2 linked regions of the Ovis aries genome follow. The protein of the gene in region 1 purifies or fractionates together with the protein of each later gene. This does not show direct contact. Links are inferred from orthologs where the notes say so. Each region holds a gene or a part of one and is shown on either strand. Other genes may lie near its edges.

Region 1 (10,179 bases):
GCATTCCAGGCCTTTCCATTCAAGAAGCAGAAAAGGCAGGCGTGGCCAGATTATGAAGCTTTGTGAACCAGGGTGACTTCTCTGTTCCACTCCAAGTACTAGGAAGCCAGGGAGAGGCCTAGTAAGGAAGTGACGGGATCTGACGTACACTTTCACAAGATCCCTCTGGCCACTATATGAAGAACAAGTTGTCGAACCTCCCTGGTGGTCCAGTGTTAAGGATCCACCTGCCAATGCAGGGGACATCGGTTCCATTCCTGGTCCAGAAGATTCCACATGCTGCATCGCCATACTGAAGCCTGAATGCCCTAGAGCCCGTGTGCCCCAACAAGAGAAGACATCAAAATGAGAAGCCTGTGCACCGCAACAAAGAGTAGCCCCTGCTCATCACAACCAGTCCTGCACACAGCAAAGAAGATCCAGCACAACCAAAAATAAATGAAAGAACAAATTTTTTAAGAGTAAACTGTAGGGCAAGAGAAGACACAAGGAGACCAGTCAGGACATGATTCTAGCTGTCCAGATGAAACATGGTAATTGCTTGGACTGGGCTCACAGCAGTGGAGACAAAATGAGGTAGTCCAATACAGAATACACTCTGCAGGCAAAGCTGACAGGTCCTACTGATGAAACGGATTGTACAAAGAGGAGAGGAAGAGGAAATAATTACAAATAAATTCCAGATGTAGAGCTTGAAACAACTGAGTGGGTGGTGATGGCAGCATGTTGTGATGGAGAAAACCCAGGCAAAGCAGGCAGCCAGGCATCTGAGACAGGAGTCAAGGCATGTAGACGGCACATAGAACCATGAGACTAGATGAGGTCAGCTAGCAAGGGGCATACAGAATAAAGAGACCTCCAAGATCAAGTTCCCAGGTACTGCACACTCTGCTGTCACCCAGCAAAGGAATCTGAGGAGGACCAATCAGTGACCTCAGAGGAAAACCTGGAGTTCCAGGAAGACATAGATGCAAGTGAAGGAAAAGCTTTATGAAGGAGGGAGTGGTCCACCCTGGAATGCTGCCAAGAAGTTGAAAAGATACAGAGAAGTGACATTTAGGTTTAGCAACAAATAATCACCGTGTAGAAGGACAGTCTGAGTGGCATGAAGGGAATCTAAATGGAAGAGATTGAGAGGATTCAAAGTGAAGAAACAGGGAGTAAGAAAGAGTTGTAAAGTATTACTACATAGCCCTGCTCCAAAGACAACCGAAATATCTGACTGTCCACATAACAGTTTAATGTAATCTACTCAGCCTCCTCCATGGTTTATTCAAGTTTGGCTACAAAGCAAGGTGACTAAGTCTAAAGACTGGTTTGGGAAATGGTTTCATCATTTTATAGCTATATCTTGCCCACTTGCAGGTACAGTGTGTCTGCTGATGGTTTTCTTTCGGAGCAGTAGCTCTCATGTTCCCGGACTCCATCCCACACACACAAAGTAAAGATTCATCTGAGACCAAATATATCCACATGCCCACTTTCTAGAAAATGAACTCTTGTGATAACGATGAAGTATCACAGTAAAACCCAAATGGGGAAGTTTTACACAAATCTGTTTTAGCCATAGGTCTATGAATGATTCATTTTTGAACTATAATTCATATGTCTAATTATTTGAAAATCACAAATCAAAAATGCCATCAATGTATATACACATTTACTACACACTGAAGTAACCAAAAAACCAACTTGATAATCTGATAATAACAGTATTGAACTAACAGTAACTTAGTAATTAAAATGCAACAATAGTGGCATCTGAAAACCAGAAATGATTTAACACCAAGATAGCAGGAATTCCAAACAAGAGTGCACTGTAATTTTGTGAGGATGTCAAATGCCGAGCGGCAGAAAACTTGGAGTTGTTACTCAACTTTGGTAAAGTTGTCAATTTTAGGAACACTTAACAACTGCACTAAATAGAACACCAGCAAGAAATTGCTAATACATATACAGTAAAAGTATGTGGACTTGCCTGTGGATCACAGGAAAAAGCAATGACTGAGTCTGCATTTAGGGCAACCGGTGGTGCACCAGAAGTGGCCTACATTGGTCCGCATGCAGGACAGCTGGACCCACACCTGCTGCTTTATGACAGTGCTGCACCATCAGACTGCTGGAGGCCACCCCAGCACAGGGAGGCAGTCTGGCCTGGATGCCCATGTGCTCAACAGTCCTAGAATCTTGAAATCACATACAGGTACCCCTTGGCCAGAGCCAGCCCCACAGATACACTGCTTCATGGTTTATAACATTTGAAGTCATTCCAATAATTTAAAATTGGAAAACTTCACATTACAAAAAAAAGTTTTCTGGCTCGTCAAAGAAAAGAAAGACAAAGGGAGACCTGGCCAGGCTCAGCTGCCCCTTGAGCTGCACCCTGTGCTCTTCAGAGCCCCACTGATCCCACCCTCCAGAGCGTCAGAAACGAGTCAAACCTCAGCTGCCACTGATCTCTGAATCTGCGCCATTATTCTCCTTCTACCCGGCTTTTTTAGACTACCTTTCAATTCTCAGCATCATTTGGATTGGCACCCTTCATCCTGTAGAGTGTACTGAAAAAGCGCCCTCAGGGTCTAACCGGAAAAAGAGACTATAAGGATGGCCAGATGCCAAGTTCTCAGAAACAACTAAAAATGTTAGCTGCTGATATTTTTTCTTTATTAAACAACTTGCAAAGGCTGGATACTTTCTCAGCTAGCTCTAAGTCACAATCTCGGTAACTACTCAAGACTCCCAAAACTTTTCTTACTCTTAATAACCTATGAGGAGCTTATCAGGGAATGTTGATCATTCACAAATTGTTTTAAATAAAAGGTCAAAAATAAATCCATTAATCAGTTTTGAACAGTTTAAGCATGGTTTAAACATGTTTAACAGTTTAAGAAAAAGAAAGCCCTTTTCAAAAGAAAAAAAAAGCCCTAATTAGAATGAAAAAAGATTACAGTTACTTTTTAGAATAAATCTTTTCATATATGGACAGCAACCACAAAAGCTTTAAACCACATAATTAGTACTAAAACTGAATAAGACAGACTTTATACAATCTTTTCCAATGACCATCTCTGTTACTCCCTAAACTACTTTTGGATGAAACAGATTTTCCTGACCTTTTGGGCATGCTTAGTAGCTCAGTCCTGTATGACTCTTTGTAATCTCATGGGCTGTAGCCCACCAGACTCCTCTGTCCACGGGATTTTCCAGGCAAGAATAATGGAGTGCCATTTCCTTCTCCAAACCTTTTGAAGGTACGCCAAATAACAACTGAAGCACTAGTTCCTAGTGACTGAATAACTAAAATTACCGTAAGGGAAATCGTATATATGTTCAACATCATATACTGAAAACAACCATCTTATATAAACATATCCATCAGCCCAGAGCAAGCACAGTACATGATAATATCAACTACCCTTCTTAGGCTAAAAAGTTCAAATAAATAAATACAGTCTTGAAGCAGAAAACAAAACACAAAAAGACAAATTATAAATATGTATGGGTGACATAGTCCCACCCTTTTGCTCTGGAGGCCAGGAAATAGATGGTAGTTAAACAAAATTGACTTTCTTTCCTACTAGCAGCCTGGGTCACTATCCACATTCCAACACCATAAGGAACCACTACTAGACCCAAGTTCCAACCCCTCATACTCTACTATTAGAGAAATTCTGCCTCCAAGTAATAGTAACAGGACATGACATAAAAGGAGCAAAGCCTAGATTCAAGACAAATTGCTTAGAAGGCTTTGGTAAAGTTCATTGTAACTTTAAAATAACTTTGCATTAATCTGTTACTAGCTGAACATTTGCCAGTAATCTTGTTTTCTAGCATACTATACTAGACTTCTGCATTCCACCTAGCTTGGATCAAAAAAAAAAAGTAATCTAGTCACTAAAAGTAGACCTACCATGTGGGGACAAATACCACATCCCAAGTTGTCTTTCCTCTAAGTGTTAACAGTACTAAGTATATCCAAAAAAGCATGCAAATACTTGCAACGCTGTATTTTCTAACTTGTGTAACTTTCATTGTCTGAATTAGAACTCCCTTTGAATCTAATTAACACTATCCAGTGAATAACTACTAACCAAAACAGCCTTTTCCCTTTACAACCAAAACTGGAGTCTGAAATGATTTGTACTTTTTAGTTGACCTGCAACATGTGTCTGGGAAAGAATATCGCCGCTCTACCAAGGACATACTTCTGGCTCTGAACTTTCTTGAAAAAACTACTCAAGTCCAAGGGGCGCCGGCGCTATCCACTTACCCGATCCTTCATCCTCCAGCTCTGAGCTAAGGATTTGGAGCCTTCGATTTTCTCACAGTGCCTCTTTTTCATAAAAGCCAAAGGCAGGTTCCAGTCTGTAAGGTCAGCTTCATCTTCCTCCCCGAGTCCCAAGAGAGGCGACTGCAGCATCTCGGACTCCATGAGCGGGGGAGGGGGTGGGGGAGTCCTGGGCAGCAAACGCTCGAGAACCTCCAGCCTTGAAAACTAGTGTGTACCAGAATGGGTGAAATAAGAAACAGAAAAGGGGGAGGTAGAAAAAGAAATGGGTGGAGAGGGTGGAGAGACCCTCACTCAGGCAAAAAGTCTGAGATTCTTCTAACTCTGCGCGGGAAGTCGGAGGGGGTGGGAAATGAGGGAACCAAGAGGCTCCGCACAGACACACACGCCCCCAGTTCCCAAGCCACCGGCTGCTTCTGAGGCCGTCAGTTCCCAGAGGGGCTGCGAGCGGAGCTGTCAAAGGCGTGCGAGACTCCAGGCCTCACGATGACCCTGCTCTCGGCCTCCAACGTCTCAGCCGATCAGAGGACAGGCAGGCCGCCCGCTCTTGATGCCGGTTCGCCGACTGGGCTGAGGTCTTCGGCCGAGGGGATGAGGTTCAGAGCGCCTTGGGTCTCCTGCAGCCACTCTCAGCCCTGCGGGTCGCGCACTTGCAGGAGCTGCTGCAACCAGAGCCAGGACCGGCCCATCGTGCTCGCCCGCAGCCGGCTCCTCAGCACTGGGTCCGCGCGGCCTGGCCGGTCCTGGCCTCCAGCCCTATGGCTCTCGCCCGTCTGAGAACGAGTCTTGAGAGACAGGCTACACAGAGCCGCGGAAAAGACGGGTAATGTGGGCTTATTGGGTTTGGGGAGTTTTGTCCTCTGGTTTCAAGCTACAGTGAAACTCCGCTCATCAGCACATCAAGGAGGACGCCATATTGCCAAGACCCAGCATGCAGCGCGATCTACGGCGTGGGTAACAGGCCAAACTTCCTCAGAGCGTTCTGCCTTGCCGCGCTTCCCAAGAGGCAGCGAGAGAAGTCTCCGCCCCCTTGTTACCATCGTTACCACAATTCAGCTTGCTAGTTTATAGCTTTTCGTTCAACAGATGCGTCACATCAAAGTCTGTCCTATAAATGAAACTGTGTCATTTAATTAATTTTGAAAAAATCTTTATTATTACAAGTAGACCTACATCCTTCTGAAATTAAAGGAATCGACCCCTTGTTTTTTCCAGATTTTGGAAAAGCAAAAGCTTCCGAAAGAATCATTGATAATATTACAAAGGAATATAGTATCGTACGCGAGGTTGGGAGGAGACGTACTATCCTCCACAGTATCAATCAGACTCTTATTTTTAAGGAACACAGCGAAAAAATTAATTTTGACAATTGTAATTTTTGTTTAATCCATTTATTTTCTGAGCGGTTTATTCTTATTTGAATGTAGCTTTACTTACAAACAGCTAAAAGCTATTACAAACAGCTAAAAGCTATAGATCTCTATGCGTGGATCGCCTCCTGCACTACTTTATTGCTCTATTCCGTAAACATTGCGTGTTTACAGTGTGTGAGAATGTGTCCCATGCAGAGGGAATATAAACCCCAAGGGGCATGCAGTGCCTGTCTTCAATAAACATAGTGCCTAGTGAGACACACATGTAACCATTAGATAAAGTAGTGGAGGGTGGGGGGTGCAGGAAGATCGGCAGGGAGGCTGGTCTTCCCCTCTGCATTTAGGCTTTGAGGTAAGGCCCACGTGTATCTGCATCTCAACTGTATCACTTTCCATGCCTGTGACAACATTGATCCATTCCTTAACTAGTTCAGCCTCACTTCCTTCAACTATAATCTGGGTTTATATAATACCCACCTTGAAGGGTAAAATTAACCTGTGTAGGAGTCTGGTATACAGTGAGTGTCCAGTACAATGCCAGCAATGATGGGTATATACCAGAGGGAAATCCAGCAGCCCTGCGTGCTTTGTTAATCTAAAAGAGTCAGGCTGGACTCTCAAAGAGACCCTCTTTCTCAGTATGGTTTCCTAGGGCTTTGACACGATGTCAAAATCCATATCAAAATCCTGAGGGCGGGTATTTCCCTGGGGGTCCAGTGGTTAAGATTTTGTCTTCCAATGGAGGGGGTGCAAGTTCAATCCATGCTTCGGGAGCTAAGAGCCACATGCCAAATGGCCAAAATACCAGAACATAAACAACAGAAACAGTATTGTAACAAATTCAATAAACACTTTTAAAACAGTCCACAAATAATAATTTATTAAAGATAATAAAATAATAATAGATAATAAAAGATAATAAAAAATAATAATTTTTTAAAGATAACTGATTTAACCAAAATCCAAACAGCATTTGTGTTCCTTTCAACATCTGAGTAAATAGTGCAATCCAAAATCATTCTCACCTAGCACATAGCAGGCATTTAATTAAAATTCTTGGATTAAAACATTACCATTCTAAACATTTGTTCAGTTATTACATCCTCATGAGCCCCATTCTCCCATGAAAACTCAAGACAAATTCACCAGAACACAGATGGAGGTTAATATCTTCCTTTTTCCTTGCTATCAGTGTTGGCAAAATGTCCCCCACTGTCATCAGCAGAGGCTTCAGGACTGCAGGGTCCTGAGAAGATCCCACTCTCACCTGAGGGCAGTGTAACTCCAGCTCTGCCTGTCACCCTGCAGCATACAACAGTGAAGGCCAAGGTCCCCAGGCACTCTTTCAGAAAGCCTCAGCTACAGGAGAGTGGCAGCATTAACCCCATTCATTCCCAACTAGCCCTGTGACATGGGCATCAGTGAAAGTCACTCAGTCATGTCCGACTCTGCAACCCCATGGACTACAGTCCATGGAATTCTCCAGGCCAGAATACTAGAGTGGGTAGCCATTTTCTTCTCCAGGGGATCTTCCCAACCCAGGCATTGAACCCAGGTCTCCTGCATTGCGGGCTGACTCTTTACAAGCTGAGCCACAAGGGAAGCCCAAGAATACTGTAAGCCTATCCCTTCTCCAGTGGATCTTCCAGACTCAGGACTCGATTGGGGTTTCCTGCATTGCAGGTGGATTCTTTACCAACTGAGCTATCAGGGAAGCCTGTGACATGGGAAAGCTGCTTAATCTGTGTGGGAATCAGCTTCCTGACCTATGAAGTATGTCACCTGGGGAAATCCACTCAGCTTGTCTGACATTCTCAGTGAAGGTAGTAATGGAGCCCGTGGAACCCAAACATGGCAGGTTGTCAGAATTACCTGGGTAATGATTTTAAAATTAATTTTCCTGAGTCCCAGCTCAGATGTACTGAATCTTGGGGAGAGGGAGGACAGAGATTCAGAATCTCTATTTTTTAATCAGATAACCCTGACAATAATTTAAAATCAGTCAGATGTGGGGACACTGGGTAATATTCTCGCTAAGGAAATCAAGCAATAGTCTCCTCCAGTGATTCCATTCCAGCCCAGTGGTGGACCTTCAATAACTGTTTGTACTGAATTGGGGTGGGTTGCCATGCCCTCCCCCAGGGATCTTCCGCAGGATCCCCTGTTTCTTACGTCTCCTGCATTGGCAGGCGGGTTATTTACCACTAGTGCCACCTGCTGCTGCTAAGTCACTTCAGTCGTGTCCGACTCTGTGTGACCCCATAGACGGCAGCCCACGAGGCTCCCCCATCCCTGGGATTCTCCAGGCAAGAACACCGGAGTGGGTTGCCATTTCCTTCTCCAATGCATGAAAGTGAAAAGTGAAAGGGCAGTCGTTCAGTCATGTCCAACTCTTAGCGACCTCATGGACTACAGCCTACCAGGCTCCTCTGTCCATGGGATTTGCCAGGCAAGAGTACTGGAGTGGGGTGCCATCACCTTCTCCAAGTGGGAAGCCCCAAATAAATGAAACAATTATCCAATCTTTCATCTAACACATCAGAACAAGACTCATCCTCTCCCCCGAACTACATAACAAAACACCCTCTAGTGTTTCACAAATGTGACCCCAGAACCTAGAGACATTTGAGGTCCATGTACTGGACTGATGATTTGATACACACATTCTGTCCCCAGCCCACCACCAATTCCTACAGAATTTCCAGTCTCTGCCCTCCTCTGTCCACAGTCTTCACATCTGAGACAAGAAAACTTTTATTTTGGGGTCTCACAGCTTGCAGGATTTTAGTTCCTCCAGGAGGGATCGAACCCACGCCCCTTGCTTTGGAAACACAGAGTCTTAATCACTGGACCACCAGTGAAGTCCCAGGCAAGAGAAACTTAAAGGTGAACCTCCAAGGACACTTCAGCATCAAAATTCCGTTATTCATGTAAAAACCAGAGAGGGGCTGGTGAAAGCCCAACTCCCAACCTGAAGGTTCAGGAAGGGGCTTGAATCATTTCACAGCATCATGACATTTAAAAGAAACCTCTTCCCAGTGTTGTCATGAGAGACTCTATTCGAGTCCCAGATAAGCATTTGGAAGCTTGACTCCAGGTTTCTGGAAGGCAGGGAACGTCGATGACTAATGACAGGCTGGAAATTCAAGGGCTAACGTTTCTCACCTGGGTGATCTCATTACCGCGGCGTGTGATCCGCGGCCACTTGGGCCTGCAGTTCGGGTTCCCAATGTCTCCAGTTCCTCACAAACAAGGACATCTCCTGCTTGCCACAAAGCCTCTAAATAAGATACTTTAATCATGAAAACAAGTTCTACAAATCTCAAAAAATGTGTGAAACCTGATTTGATTCAAGCTGTGGAAGGGGAGAGGGTGTTGATGATATCCCGCTGGGAGTGAACATCAAGCTGCAATGTGGAACTGGGAGAGAAAGGGCTTTTAGGGCCAGTTCTGATGTGAAACGTAGCAGCTAAACCACCACCACTGATGTGAGACAATCAATAACCTTTGACCTTCAGGTACAGAAAGGGGAGTGCTATGTGCCGAGTTGCTTCAGTCATGTCCGACTCTTGGCGACCCTATAGACTGTAGCCCACCAGACTCACCCTCTGTCCATGGATTCTCCAGGCAAGAATACTAGAGTAGGTTGCCATTTCCCCCTCCAGGGGATCTTTCTGATCCAGGGATCGAATTCGTGTCTCTTATGTCTCCAGCAAGGGCAGGTGGGTTCTTTACCACCAGCACCACCTGGGAAGCCCAGAAACGAGGGATCTTGTCTTATAATATGCAGGTGGAGCAGAAGACCCCTTAAAACCCTAAATCTCTGATTATTTGGCAACCAGAAGCCAAAGAAACTGCAAAATGTGCAAAGAACAAATATAAATAAAACCTGAGTGTGTGGGTCAAATACAACACAGGTCAGGGGTAAATCTAGGGGCAAATTTGGGAGAACAGCCAGGGCAGGGAGAGGGTCTGAACAGATGCCTCGGGAACACAGCACATTGCCCAGGAAGAACCAAGGAGGCTGGGTTTTCACAGCCTCCAAGCTCAGCGGTTGGCTCATCTTCTCTCAAAACACAAGACCATCACAGCCGAGGTATTCCATTTGCAACAGGATAGCCTGCGTTCCATCCTCCAATATTGCAGTTCCTCTGCTAAATCAATCAAGGGCACTGAATGTGTTTTGTCATCAAGAATCAGAAGCAAGCCTGGAGGTCAAGTAACTTGAGAAAACCGGGTGCTTCGCTGAGTTATTGTTTTCCATGCAGGGAGACAGGCCAGCTCCTGTCCTTTCCAGAGAAATCTGTGCTTAGCTTAAAAGAAACCAAAATAGATATAAAGTACTTTGCTTTTTGTCTGAACATCATTACTTTGTTTTTAGCAGACTCCAAGCCACCCTCCCTCTGCAGGTCAGATGTTTGGTTGACAGCAAAGTGAGAAGAGAGAAAGGGAAGTAACATCACCCACAGTCAAAGACACAGGCTGCAAGAACCCAAATGAACCTGCCTCCCTCTCTGC
Region 2 (10,515 bases), on another chromosome or scaffold:
CTCAGAGCAGGCTTTCTCTAGTTGCAGTGAGCGGGGGCTACTCTCTAGTTACAGTGCCGGGCTTCTCATTGCAGTGGCTTCTTTTGTTGAAGAGCATGGGCTCTAGGGTATGTGGGCTCAGTAGTTTTGTTGCTCCGTGGCATGTGGGATCTTCCTGGATTGGGATCGAACTCACGTCTCCTGAGTTGGCAGGTGGATTACCACTGAGCTACCAAGGAAGCCCCAAGCCTCAGTTTTCTCACCTACCAAATGGGAGTGGTTCCTCCTTGGCAGGGTTATTGCGAAGACCCAATGCAGAATGTGGGTAAAAGGCTCAGCCCAGTTTGGCGGTTCCTCAAAAACTGAAACGTGGAATGACAAGACGCAGCAGCCCCACTGCTACTATATACTCGAGCAAAATCAAAACGGGTACTCAGAAGTACTTGAACAGAAACATTCATTGCAAGCATTATTTGTACTAGCTAAAACGTGGAAACCATCTCATCAAGTGTCCATCAATGAATGGAAAAACGGATAAATGAAATATGGTCCATCCATACAATGAAATATTGTTCAGCCATAAAAAGGAATGAAGTACTAATACAGGCGTCCCTTGAGGCTCAGCTGGTAAAGCACCACCTACAATGCAGGAGACTTGGGTTCAATCCCTGGGTTGGGAAGATCCCCTGGAGAAGGGAAAGGCTACCCACTCCAGTATTCTGGCCTGGAGAATTCCATGGAGTGTATAGTCCATGGGGTTGCAAAGAGTCGGTCACAACTGAGCGACTTTCACTTTCACTGACACAGGCTACAACCTGGATGAACCTAGAAAATGTTATGCCCAGTGAAAGAAACCAAACACAAAAGGCCATATATTGTATGACTTCATTGCTATGAACTGTCCAGAAGAGGTAAATCCATGGAGTCAGGAAGCGGATCACTGGCTGCCAGGGGCTGAGGGGAGGTGGGGTGGGGGATGGGGAGTGAGTGCCTAACGGGTGGTGGGGGAGGAGGGGTTCTTTTGGAATGATGGGAATGTTCTGGAACTAGACAGAAGTGGTGGTTGCACAACATTAAGTGCCACTGAATTGTTCACTTAAAAATGGCAACGTTCATGTAATGTGAATTTCACCTCAATTCAAACAAAACATTCGGTATAGCCCCTTCATACAGAATAAGCTCTCAAAGCTATGAAAGGTGCTAAAAAAATCAGAAGTTCAGCAGGTAAAGAGGCAGAGATGACACATCCTAGGTGTGGGCAAGGGTTCAAAGAGAGGGTGCAGTGAATTCTGAGACTGCCGTTCACTCGTGGCTTGTGCAGTGGAGAGGAGAAAGCTGCAGGGTTGGCAGGGGCTGGGCCCAGGAGTCTGAAGGGTGATGGGTGACACTTGCAGGATTCTTACAAGGTTTAGGCTTAGGATTTTTTTTTAGTTAAAAATATTTATTTATGTTTGGCTGCATCAGGTCTTAGTTGTGGCATGTAAGCTCACTAGCTGTAAGCTTAGTACCTGCAATGCGTGGGCTTAGTTGCCCTGCGGCATGTGGGATCTTGGCTCCCCGACCAGGGATTGAACTCACATCCCCTGCATTAGGAAGAAGGCAATGGCAACCCACTCCAGTACTCTTGCCTGGAAAACCCCATGGACAGAGCAGCCTGGCGGGCTGCAGACCATGGGGTCGCAAAGAGTTGGACAGGACTGAGCGACTTCACTTTCACTTTTCACTTTCCTGCACTGGAGAAGGAAATGGCAACCCACTGTAGTGTTCTTGCCTGAAGAATCCCAGGGACGGCGAAGCCTGGTGGGCTGCCATTTCTGGGGTCGCACAGAGTCGGACACGACTGAAGCGACTTAGCAGCAGGAGCAGTCCCTGCATTAGATGGTATATTCTTAACCACTGGATCACCAGGGAAGTCCTCAGTCTTAGGTATACAGAAGACCACTCTATAATGTGAAGGACAGCTTGGAGGGGGCAGGAGAAGGGTGATGGGGAAGCTGCTCCTGAGAGGGGGTGGTGGTCCATGGGATCCTGTCTGGCTGTCACTTATGGGTGGGCACCACACACAGAAGAGAAAGCCTTTAGGGGCAGGTCTATCATGAACTGTCTTGGCCATGGGAAGCAGAGGGGTCTGTGGGGCCCTTGATGGACAATGTCAAACAGGGAGCTGGCTGTGAGCTGGAGACAGGGAAGGAAGGACCCGGAGCAAGGAAGGTACTGAAATCCCTGGAGAGTGGGCAGGAGCCCCAGGGACAGGGTGGACACAGGATCTCTGGAGGCTGCCAGCCTTGAGGGGAAGGCAGAGAAAGAGAATGAAAGCGGGGGGTAAGAAGCTAGCAACAGTCACAGGAGCTTTCTAGGAGCAGTGCTGTCAGCCACTGTGTAGACAGACGTAGCAAGATGCATGAGAAAAGTATGTGCTGCGTTTGGCAGTGTGAGATGGCCAGTGACCTTGTGAAACTCTCACTGGAGAGCTGGGAGTAAAACATGACAGCTGACAGCGAGTCAAGCTGCTAGTGAGAAGTGAGGCTGGATTTCTGAAAGGGTGCCGTCTGGAAGGATGGTGTGGAAATGCTGAGGGAGGGACTTCCCTGGCAGTCCAGGGGTTCAGGCTTGGTGCTTCCACTGCAGTGGACACAGGTTCAATCCCTGGTCGGGGAACTAAGATCCCGCATGCCACATGGTGCACAGACAAAAAATTAAAGAAAGACAAGAAAAAGAAACGCTGACAGGAAGGAAAGAGGGAAGATTCAGGGAGGAAGGTTGCCGGGACCAGGGCCTGGGTGGATAGGCAGGGGACATGGCCTTGGTCAAGGGGCCAGAGGAAGGAAAAGGGGTGCAGCTCAATTTAGAAGCCTGGTGGGAAGATGCCCTGGGAGAGGCTGTCGCAAGATTCTTTTTATTTTTTTTCTGAGGCCACGTGTGTAGAATGTGGGAAGGCTGGATGGAAGAGAAGCCGCGAGGGACCCCAGTAATGGACGGGTCACTGGGATTAGTGAAGGGACCTGAGGGTCCGATGGGTCTGCACAGGCCTGACAGGGCCCAGACTAGGGGTTGCCTGATGTAGCAAATAAAACTACAGGACACCTAACCACACTTGAATTTCACGCAAGCAACGTAGAACTTTTTAGTATAAGTATATCCCGTGCAATATTTAGGCTGTACTCAACAAAACACGTTGCTTACCTGAAATCAAATGCAACTGGATGTCCTGTAAATTACCTGGGAATCCTAGTGGGCACCAGACGGATGGGGGGGGGGGGAGGAGGATGGTACCATCCAGCCTAGGGAACCGCTCTCGGGAGGGTGGGGTCCCCGAGAGGGGAAAAGGCTGGGGTCGCTGCTTTCGTCCCGGGGCCTGTACCGCTTCTTGCCAGGAGACAGGAGCCTTCTACCCCAGGGCTTCAGTCTCGTCCCCGCCACCCCCTTCCCTCGCGCCCCTTGGTGTCGCCCTACTAGCCCATCGATAACTCGATGCTCTGCCTTTATCGACCTGCTCCGGCTCCGCTAGCCGTCCTGGGCCGCGGCGGAGCGGGGAGCCGCCTGAAAGGTACGGGGGGCGCGGGACGAGGGCTGGAAGGCGACATCCAGGGGCCGGGAGAGCGCGCCCGGGGGGCGCTGGCTCCGCGGGACAGAGTCAGGGCGGTCGGCGGAGCGCAGGGAAGCTCGAGGGTCCAGCCAGGGAGCTCCGCCACGCCGCCCCACAGGGCCCGCCGCAGGCCCACTACGCACGCGCGGTCGCCGCGCTCAGGCTTTGCTCGCGGGCCAGTGCGCAGTCCTGCGCACGCGCGGCCCGCCCCTGCGGTACCGCGGCGCCCGCGGCGCGACTGCCCCCTGCAGGCCGCTGGTGGGAGGGCGTTCCGGCGGCGGCTCTCGGGGCGGGGGACGGAGGCAGCGGCTCGGAGCGCGGAGCTGTCCCTTGCCGGTTGCCCTGAACCTCTCCGCGCCTCGGTTTTCTCCGTGTCTAAAATGGGGATGATTTCATTATTCCCCAGCACCGAGTAATCTGCTGTAACGTACTTAGGACGTAGGGTATTCTCTAAACACTGCACTCCCTATCTCTGCTCTAGATGCTCTGATCTCTGGCCCCTGCGGGTCAGACCTAGTGCCCTGTGTCGCTCGGAGCCCTTCGGCAGCCACACCATGAATACGTCTCCAGGCACAGTGGGCAGTGACCCCGTCATCTTGGCCACTGCAGGCTATGACCACACGGTGCGGTTCTGGCAGGCCCACAGCGGGATCTGTACGCGAACTGTGCAGCACCAGGACTCCGTATCCTCCGCTGGGGCGATGGGGCGGGTGGTGCCGGACAGGATGCCCGGTGGGAAGGACGCGGCCCTGAACCCGCCGGGGTGGAGGCCTTGGAGGCCCCTGTTGGTCACCCTCCTTAACAGACCCAGCAGGTGAACGCGCTGGAGATCACACCCGACCGCACCATGATTGCAGCTGCAGGTACCCTGCCCTCCACCCCAACCCCTGGTTTCTCCTAGGTCCGTCGGCACAGCCTCACTTGTTTGGTCTCTGCTCCTAGGTTACCAGCACATTCGCATGTATGACCTCAACTCCAATAACCCCAACCCCATCATCAGTTACGATGGGGTCAACAAGAACGTCGCGTCGGTGGGCTTCCACGAGGATGGGCGCTGGATGTACACGGGCGGGGAGGACTGCACCGCCCGCATCTGGGACCTCAGGTGTGGGCACGGGGGGTGGGTGGGTGGGGAGCAGCTTGCTGCCCAGGTGGGTAGGGTGAGGGCCAGCCCAGGAGACTGTCTATGCAGGTGACTTCTTGAAGGCAGGTGAGGAAAGCAGGTAGGGCAGGGAGGCAGACCCACAAAGACCCCCTCCCCCCCACCCCGAGCAGATCCCTAGCCTGATCCCACAGAGGGGTCTGGAATGAGCTGTACCAAAGAGCAAAGGAAAGGGTCTCTCGGGGAGGAGGGGGGCACCGACGGCCACGCACCACGGACGGGGTGTGTCCCCCCATCTCGAAGGTCCCGGAACCTGCAGTGTCAGCGAATCTTCCAGGTGAATGCGCCGATTAACTGTGTGTGCCTGCACCCCAACCAGGTGAGGGGGCCGCCTGAGGCTGGGCATCCTGGGGCTCTGGAGGGCAGGGGTGCTGCCCGGCCTCACCTCCCTGACACCTCCTCAGGCGGAGCTCATCGTGGGTGACCAAAGTGGCGCCATCCACATCTGGGACTTGAAAACCGACCACAATGAGCAGCTGATCCCGGAGCCAGAGGTCTCCATCACGTCCGCCCACATCGACCCAGACGCCAGCTACATGGCTGCTGTCAATAGCACTGTGAGCCCCGGGGAGAGGGTGCAGCTCGGTGCCCTGTTCTTTAGAACCCTGTTCCTGCAGGTGGGCTCATGCCCCATGTGTCCCTGTGGCCTCTCCCCTCTCCTCCCGAGTCCTGCTTCCCCAGCCGGGGCTCCAGCTCTGACCTAGCCCCTAGAGCCAGAACCCTGGGGGTCATGCCCAGTGCAGCCTCTCGCCGCCGGCCATGGCCCATGCGGCAGACGGGGCCTCTCCACCTCCATTCTTTCCAGTTGTCCACTTCCCTCTCTCCTCTTGGTTCCAGTTTCCCTCCTCTCTCCTGACAGTGGCTGGAGCCTCTCTGACTTCCTTCCCCTGTGACATCTCCCTGTCCTTCAGCAGGAGCAGCCTGACCACCTCCTTCTCCTAGGTTAACACTGAGATGCCCCGGGCTCCTTACCAGGGCCTCAGGACCCTGCCATCTGACCCCTGGGCTCCTATCCAGCCTCCTTTTCTCCCTTTAATGTCCATTTGATCTCAGCGAATCAGTTATCCCTCGACATCTCCAAACTGTCCACTCCCAAGCCTTTGCCCTGAAGTTCCCTGTGTCTGGCTGCCCTCATCCTGTCTTGTTCTGCACATTCCTGTTGGCCAGGCGCATCCTTCAGGAAGGCCAGGCGCATCCTTCAGGAAGGCCAGGCATGACCTCCTGCCCTCAGCCCATCAGGCGTGGCCCTTGCTCAGGGCCGGGTCTCCCAGGTGCTCCTTGTCACATATCCCCGGCCCCCAGGTCCTTGTGCGTAGCCGCAGTGCTGGGTGGCAGCCCCTGGATCTAGGCCTTGCTGCTGGGTATCCTCCCCGACCCATCAGACTGGAGGCCCCGGCCTCCTGTGACTTCCCTCCTCCCTGGCAGGGGAACTGCTATGTCTGGAACTTGACCGGAGGCATTGGCGATGAGGTGACACAGCTCATCCCCAAGACCAAGATCCCGGCGCACACCCGCTATGCCCTGCAGTGCCGCTTCAGCCCCGACTCCACGTGTGTGCAGGGCTGGGGGGCAGGAGGTGGTGTGCCTGGGGCTGGGGGCCTGATGCTTTGGGGTCTGCTTGGAGGACAGCACAGGAGTGCGGGATGGGAGCGGCTGCTGATGGCACCCCTGCCGTGCTCACCCCCGCCCCCAGGCTCCTCGCCACCTGCTCCGCTGACCAGACATGCAAGATCTGGAGGACGTCCAACTTCTCCCTGATGACGGAGCTGAGCATCAAGAGCAGCAACCCCGGAGAATCATCTCGGGGCTGGATGTGGGGTTGCGCTTTCTCGGGGGACTCGCAGTACATCGTCACCGGTGGGCCCCGCCGCCCTGCCCCCCGCCCCACTGGCCCGGCCCGGGGCTGCTCCCCGAACCCCATCCGTGCTCTCCCTCCCTCCCTGCAGCTTCCTCTGACAACCTGGCCCGGCTCTGGTGCGTGGAGACAGGCGAGATCAAGAGAGAGTACGGCGGCCACCAGAAAGCCGTCGTGTGCTTGGCCTTCAATGACAGCGTGCTGGGCTAGCCTTGTTCCTGGGCACTGCAGGCAGCCGTCCAGGCGGCACCAGCCGGGTGTGTCTGTCCAACTGCCCAGGTCAACGTGACACCCATGGGCTGGCTGCTTCATCCGAGGCTTGCTGGACTGGACTGAGTGACCCTGGCCCCCCTGGCCAGGCCAGTCCACTCCGGGACTTTCTCAGCCCTGGCTGCTTATGTGGATGCAGCAGGGCTCATTCCTTCAGAAACTCTTGACCCACGGGACCTAGAGCCACCAAGGGCGTCTGAGGCTGGCGCTTACCCCCAGCTGGGGCCTCCTCAGCCGCCCGCCCCCCCGCCCCCAACGCCAGCCCTGTTTTGCGTCCCCAAGGCCACAGAGAATACCGTCACGGCCAGGTGGAGTGGTTTATTATCCCTGCCACCCTCTGTGGACTGGTGACAGGGTCGGCCAGGTGACCGGCCTGTGGGACCAGGCTGGGGGCTCAGTCCGGGAGGTAATAAAAGCAGACGGACACACAGATGTTGCTCGGGAAGCAGATGTCGATACATAGGTAGATCAGCCGCTGCCTCTGGGGCCCTGGAGGAGGGGTCTCTGTGAACCCCAAAGGACCCTTTGCGCTCCGTCCCCAGACTGTCCTAAGGGAGCCCAGGCCCCTCCGCACAGCCTGCCCCAACTTACCCTCTGCACGTCGGGCCCAGTAAATGGGAGTCTTGGCACAAAGGTGCTGCACGGGAGCCCCGACCTGGGCAGGGTCCACCTCTTGGCTCCCAAGCACTGCCAGCAGCTCTTGGGCGTAGTGGGTGTCCTGGCTGGGGCTTTGCGTCGCCTGGAGCTGCAGAGAAGGATGCTTGCGCTGCTTCTGGCGGGGTGGGGCCCATGCACCCCAGGACATGCTGGTGGCATGCCAGCCCTGCCCCGGCTCTTGTCAGCACCCTCGTCCACAGGAAGACAGAGCTTCTGTTCCCCTGAAACTGGAGCCCCAGCCCGCCCTGGGCCCAGGCTGCACACAGGACCCTTTGTCCGGCCCCTGGCTGGAGGCTCCTCACCTGAGAGGTGTTCACCAGCAGCTGCAGAGTCTCACGGTCTCGGGGTTCCATCAGGCGCAGGAAGCAGGCCTGGTGCTCCGAGGGCCGGTAACAGACGCAGCCCTGGGCAGGCAGGCAGGTGAGGCAGGGCCACCTGAACCCCCCCCCGCCCCCACACCCCGCCCTGCCAGTCCACTCACGCTCTGCCCGTCGAATAGCACTGCCCAGCTGCGGTTGCTCTGGGCTGGAGTCACCCAGATGGTTGCCACGTTCTGAGCCACATCTACCTGCTCAGTTTGGTTGGACCGGGGCATGCCTGGGCTCGGGAGGCTCAGGCGGAGAGTCTGCAGAGGGGCCTGAGTGGGAGGCGGGAGGTCGCTGGCCAGGCTGGGGCTGCCTCAACACACCCCCAGCCCAGCTACAGGGCTCTGACCCACCACTCCTCTGGGTTTCTGATGTCTGCTCCCTGCCCTGGCCCCACTGGAGGGCTGGTCTCCTCCTCCTCCCGACTGTCTGAGCCTCTGCCTGGGTCCTGAGAAGGGCCTCACCTGAGGAGGGCTGTGGCTGAAACCAAGGAGCCCTCCAACCACAGCAGCGGCGGTGACCAGCGCCAGCAGCAGCAGCAGCAGCAGGCCAGGAGCTCTCCAGCGCCCGTGGCAGGGCTTGGTCTCCACCTGGAGGCACATCGGAGTCAGTAGGGCCCAGAGTGGAGGCCAGGCAGTGGGCTCCTTCAGGGGCGATAGAGGCTGAGGAAGTTCAGGAGACAGATGCTCTTCCTGCCCTGCCAGGCAGCCCTGGGCCTCTGTCCCCAAGAGGGTGTGAGTGGGGGAAGCGCTCACCCTCGCAGGTGTGGGGTGCTGGGCCCAGTGGCTCCCCTGCCCCATGCTGTGCAGCCAGGGGACAATGCGAGATTGTCTGCTGCTCCCGAGTCGGCTGGGAAACCTCAGGACACCTCCGATGAGCCAGTCCTTCTGGCCCCCTCCCCGTCTGACCCCCCTGCTTCCTCCCCAGCCCAGCCACCTGATATCCCAGTCAGAGACGCCTGGAGGGGCTGCTCATCGCTGCCTGGCTCTCCTGATGCCTGGTCTGTGCAGACCAGAGCGCACATGGGCCTGGCAGCTCAAGAGCCGTTGTGGAAGTGGAGACCCAGTGGCTGGCGCAGAGGGCAGCCCAGGTTGCCCAGGACTTTTTAATACAAAGTCTGGCCGGGGGCTGATTTCATTTTCCTGTAGATGCCTGTTCCCAGTCTCTCAGGTTACCTCTACACTCTGGGCACGGGGCCTGGCATACAGCGGGCCATCAGCAAGTGGCTGTTTCATAGGACTCTGCCACTTCCCTTTCCTCCCAGGCACCCCAGCTGCTTCCCAGTCCCCACCAATGCAAGGCAGCCCGCAGGTGCCTGCCCAAGACCAGGGCAGCTTCTAGGAGGTTCCACTGCTGGAGGGGCAGCCTCCTGGATTGCCTGCATACTGCAGGATGGTGAGGCCAGCCTCGTGCCCACAGACCCCTGCCTGGCCCAGCATGGCTGTCCCTAACTGACCGGTGCCATGCGTTTCCAGCCGCTTTGGGCTATGGATCCCAAAACCCAGTAGCTCCCAGCACTGGCAGGTTTCAGGCAGTGGGTGTCCTTCACCAGCTTCACCCCATGATCGCTTCCTTCTCTGGTTATTTTTTGTGCCTTGTTTTTCCTCATTCTTCAGAACCCGTCTCTCTGTAGTGGGCCTCAAACAGGGCGGAGTTTCTGTGCTCAGAGTCCCAAATTGAACTGGAGTCCCAGAATGGCCTTGTCCTGAGGGTACCCCCTCCCGCTCCCTGGCCATCCGGCTGTGGCGAGACAGCTGCACCCTCCACGCAGAGGCTGCTGTCCAGGCGAGAGCAAGGAACACCAGAGTCAACTGCAGTCGAGAGTTTAATACACCTTTGGGTTCACACAGTGCAACAGGGGTGGGGGGATAGGATGCACAGGCTCCTGGGCCGCTGCCCAGGCAAGAGAGAGGTGTCGCCGGCTGCCGCACGCTCCTGGTGTGGGTGACAACGCCCTGACAGGCCTGCTCAACATCCAGACCCACCTTGAGCCGACCTTGCAGAGCCAACGTCAGCACCACCAAGCTCACAGGCGCCGCTGCCCTCACGTCGCCCCCGGCAGAGTCTGAACCCCAGACGCTGAGGCCTGGGAGGAGCCAAGGCTCAGGACACGCTTTATTGCTCTGAGAACTCTTAAGAGGGTGGGTGAAGGAGCAAGGTGATCTTGAGGCTAGGAGAGAACCATGGGCTCTGAGCAGAAGCTGCTGGGTGTGTGGCGAGGCACCAGGAAGTAGTCGGCCAAAAGGAACAGCTTCCCAGGCACTCCCCTACAAGTGCAGCCAGCGGCCCATCCTCAAAGGTCAGCAACTCAGGGAGCAGGCAGAAAATGCCACGGCACTCTGCCAAGAACCCTTGGCTAGTCAGTGGACCCAGCCAGTTCTCCCACTGGCAAATGACAAGGTACCTCAGGGTCAAAACACATGGCTTCAGGGAGCCCTGGCATATGACACCTATCCCAACCAAGTGTCTGGGAAGACAGGAAGAGATTCAATTCCTGTTTTGGGGGACACCTCTTTCCTCCCCTACCCAGAGGGAGCCTTGGGTGATAAGCATTCTTTGGCCAGCACATGCCTTTGGCCCAACTGCTGGCTATCGGGCCCGCAGATTTCTTCAGTGGGATTTTCCCTATAAGACAGAGCAC

What was found. Proteins that work in one complex are often made in the same cells at the same time.
Region 2: the proteins of RPTOR (region 1) and MLST8 purify together in Homo sapiens (affinity purification with western blotting; 15 studies listed by BioGRID and IntAct, with this or other methods). This does not show direct contact. The link is inferred for Ovis aries from reciprocal best matches to the Homo sapiens genes RPTOR and MLST8.

The regions. Positions count from the first base shown.
Region 1 is NC_056064.1:51,493,755-51,503,933, forward strand, and holds the start of RPTOR (regulatory-associated protein of mTOR), read right to left. Parts: upstream 5,210-10,179; 5' UTR 4,433-5,209; coding exon 4,271-4,432; intron 1-4,270. UniProt on the Homo sapiens protein: Component of the mechanistic target of rapamycin complex 1 (mTORC1), an evolutionarily conserved central nutrient sensor that stimulates anabolic reactions and macromolecule biosynthesis to promote cellular biomass generation and growth.
Region 2 is NC_056077.1:2,252,206-2,262,720, forward strand, and holds MLST8 (target of rapamycin complex subunit LST8), read left to right. Parts: upstream 1-3,485; 5' UTR 3,486-3,526; intron 3,527-4,046; 5' UTR 4,047-4,119; coding exon 4,120-4,248; intron 4,249-4,376; coding exon 4,377-4,428; intron 4,429-4,507; coding exon 4,508-4,670; intron 4,671-4,970; coding exon 4,971-5,046; intron 5,047-5,131; coding exon 5,132-5,284; intron 5,285-6,152; coding exon 6,153-6,277; intron 6,278-6,420; coding exon 6,421-6,584; intron 6,585-6,673; coding exon 6,674-6,792; 3' UTR 6,793-7,246; downstream 7,247-10,515. Other genes in the region: BRICD5 (BRICHOS domain-containing protein 5), read right to left, coding at 7,247-7,597, 7,812-7,913, 7,991-8,146, 8,339-8,674.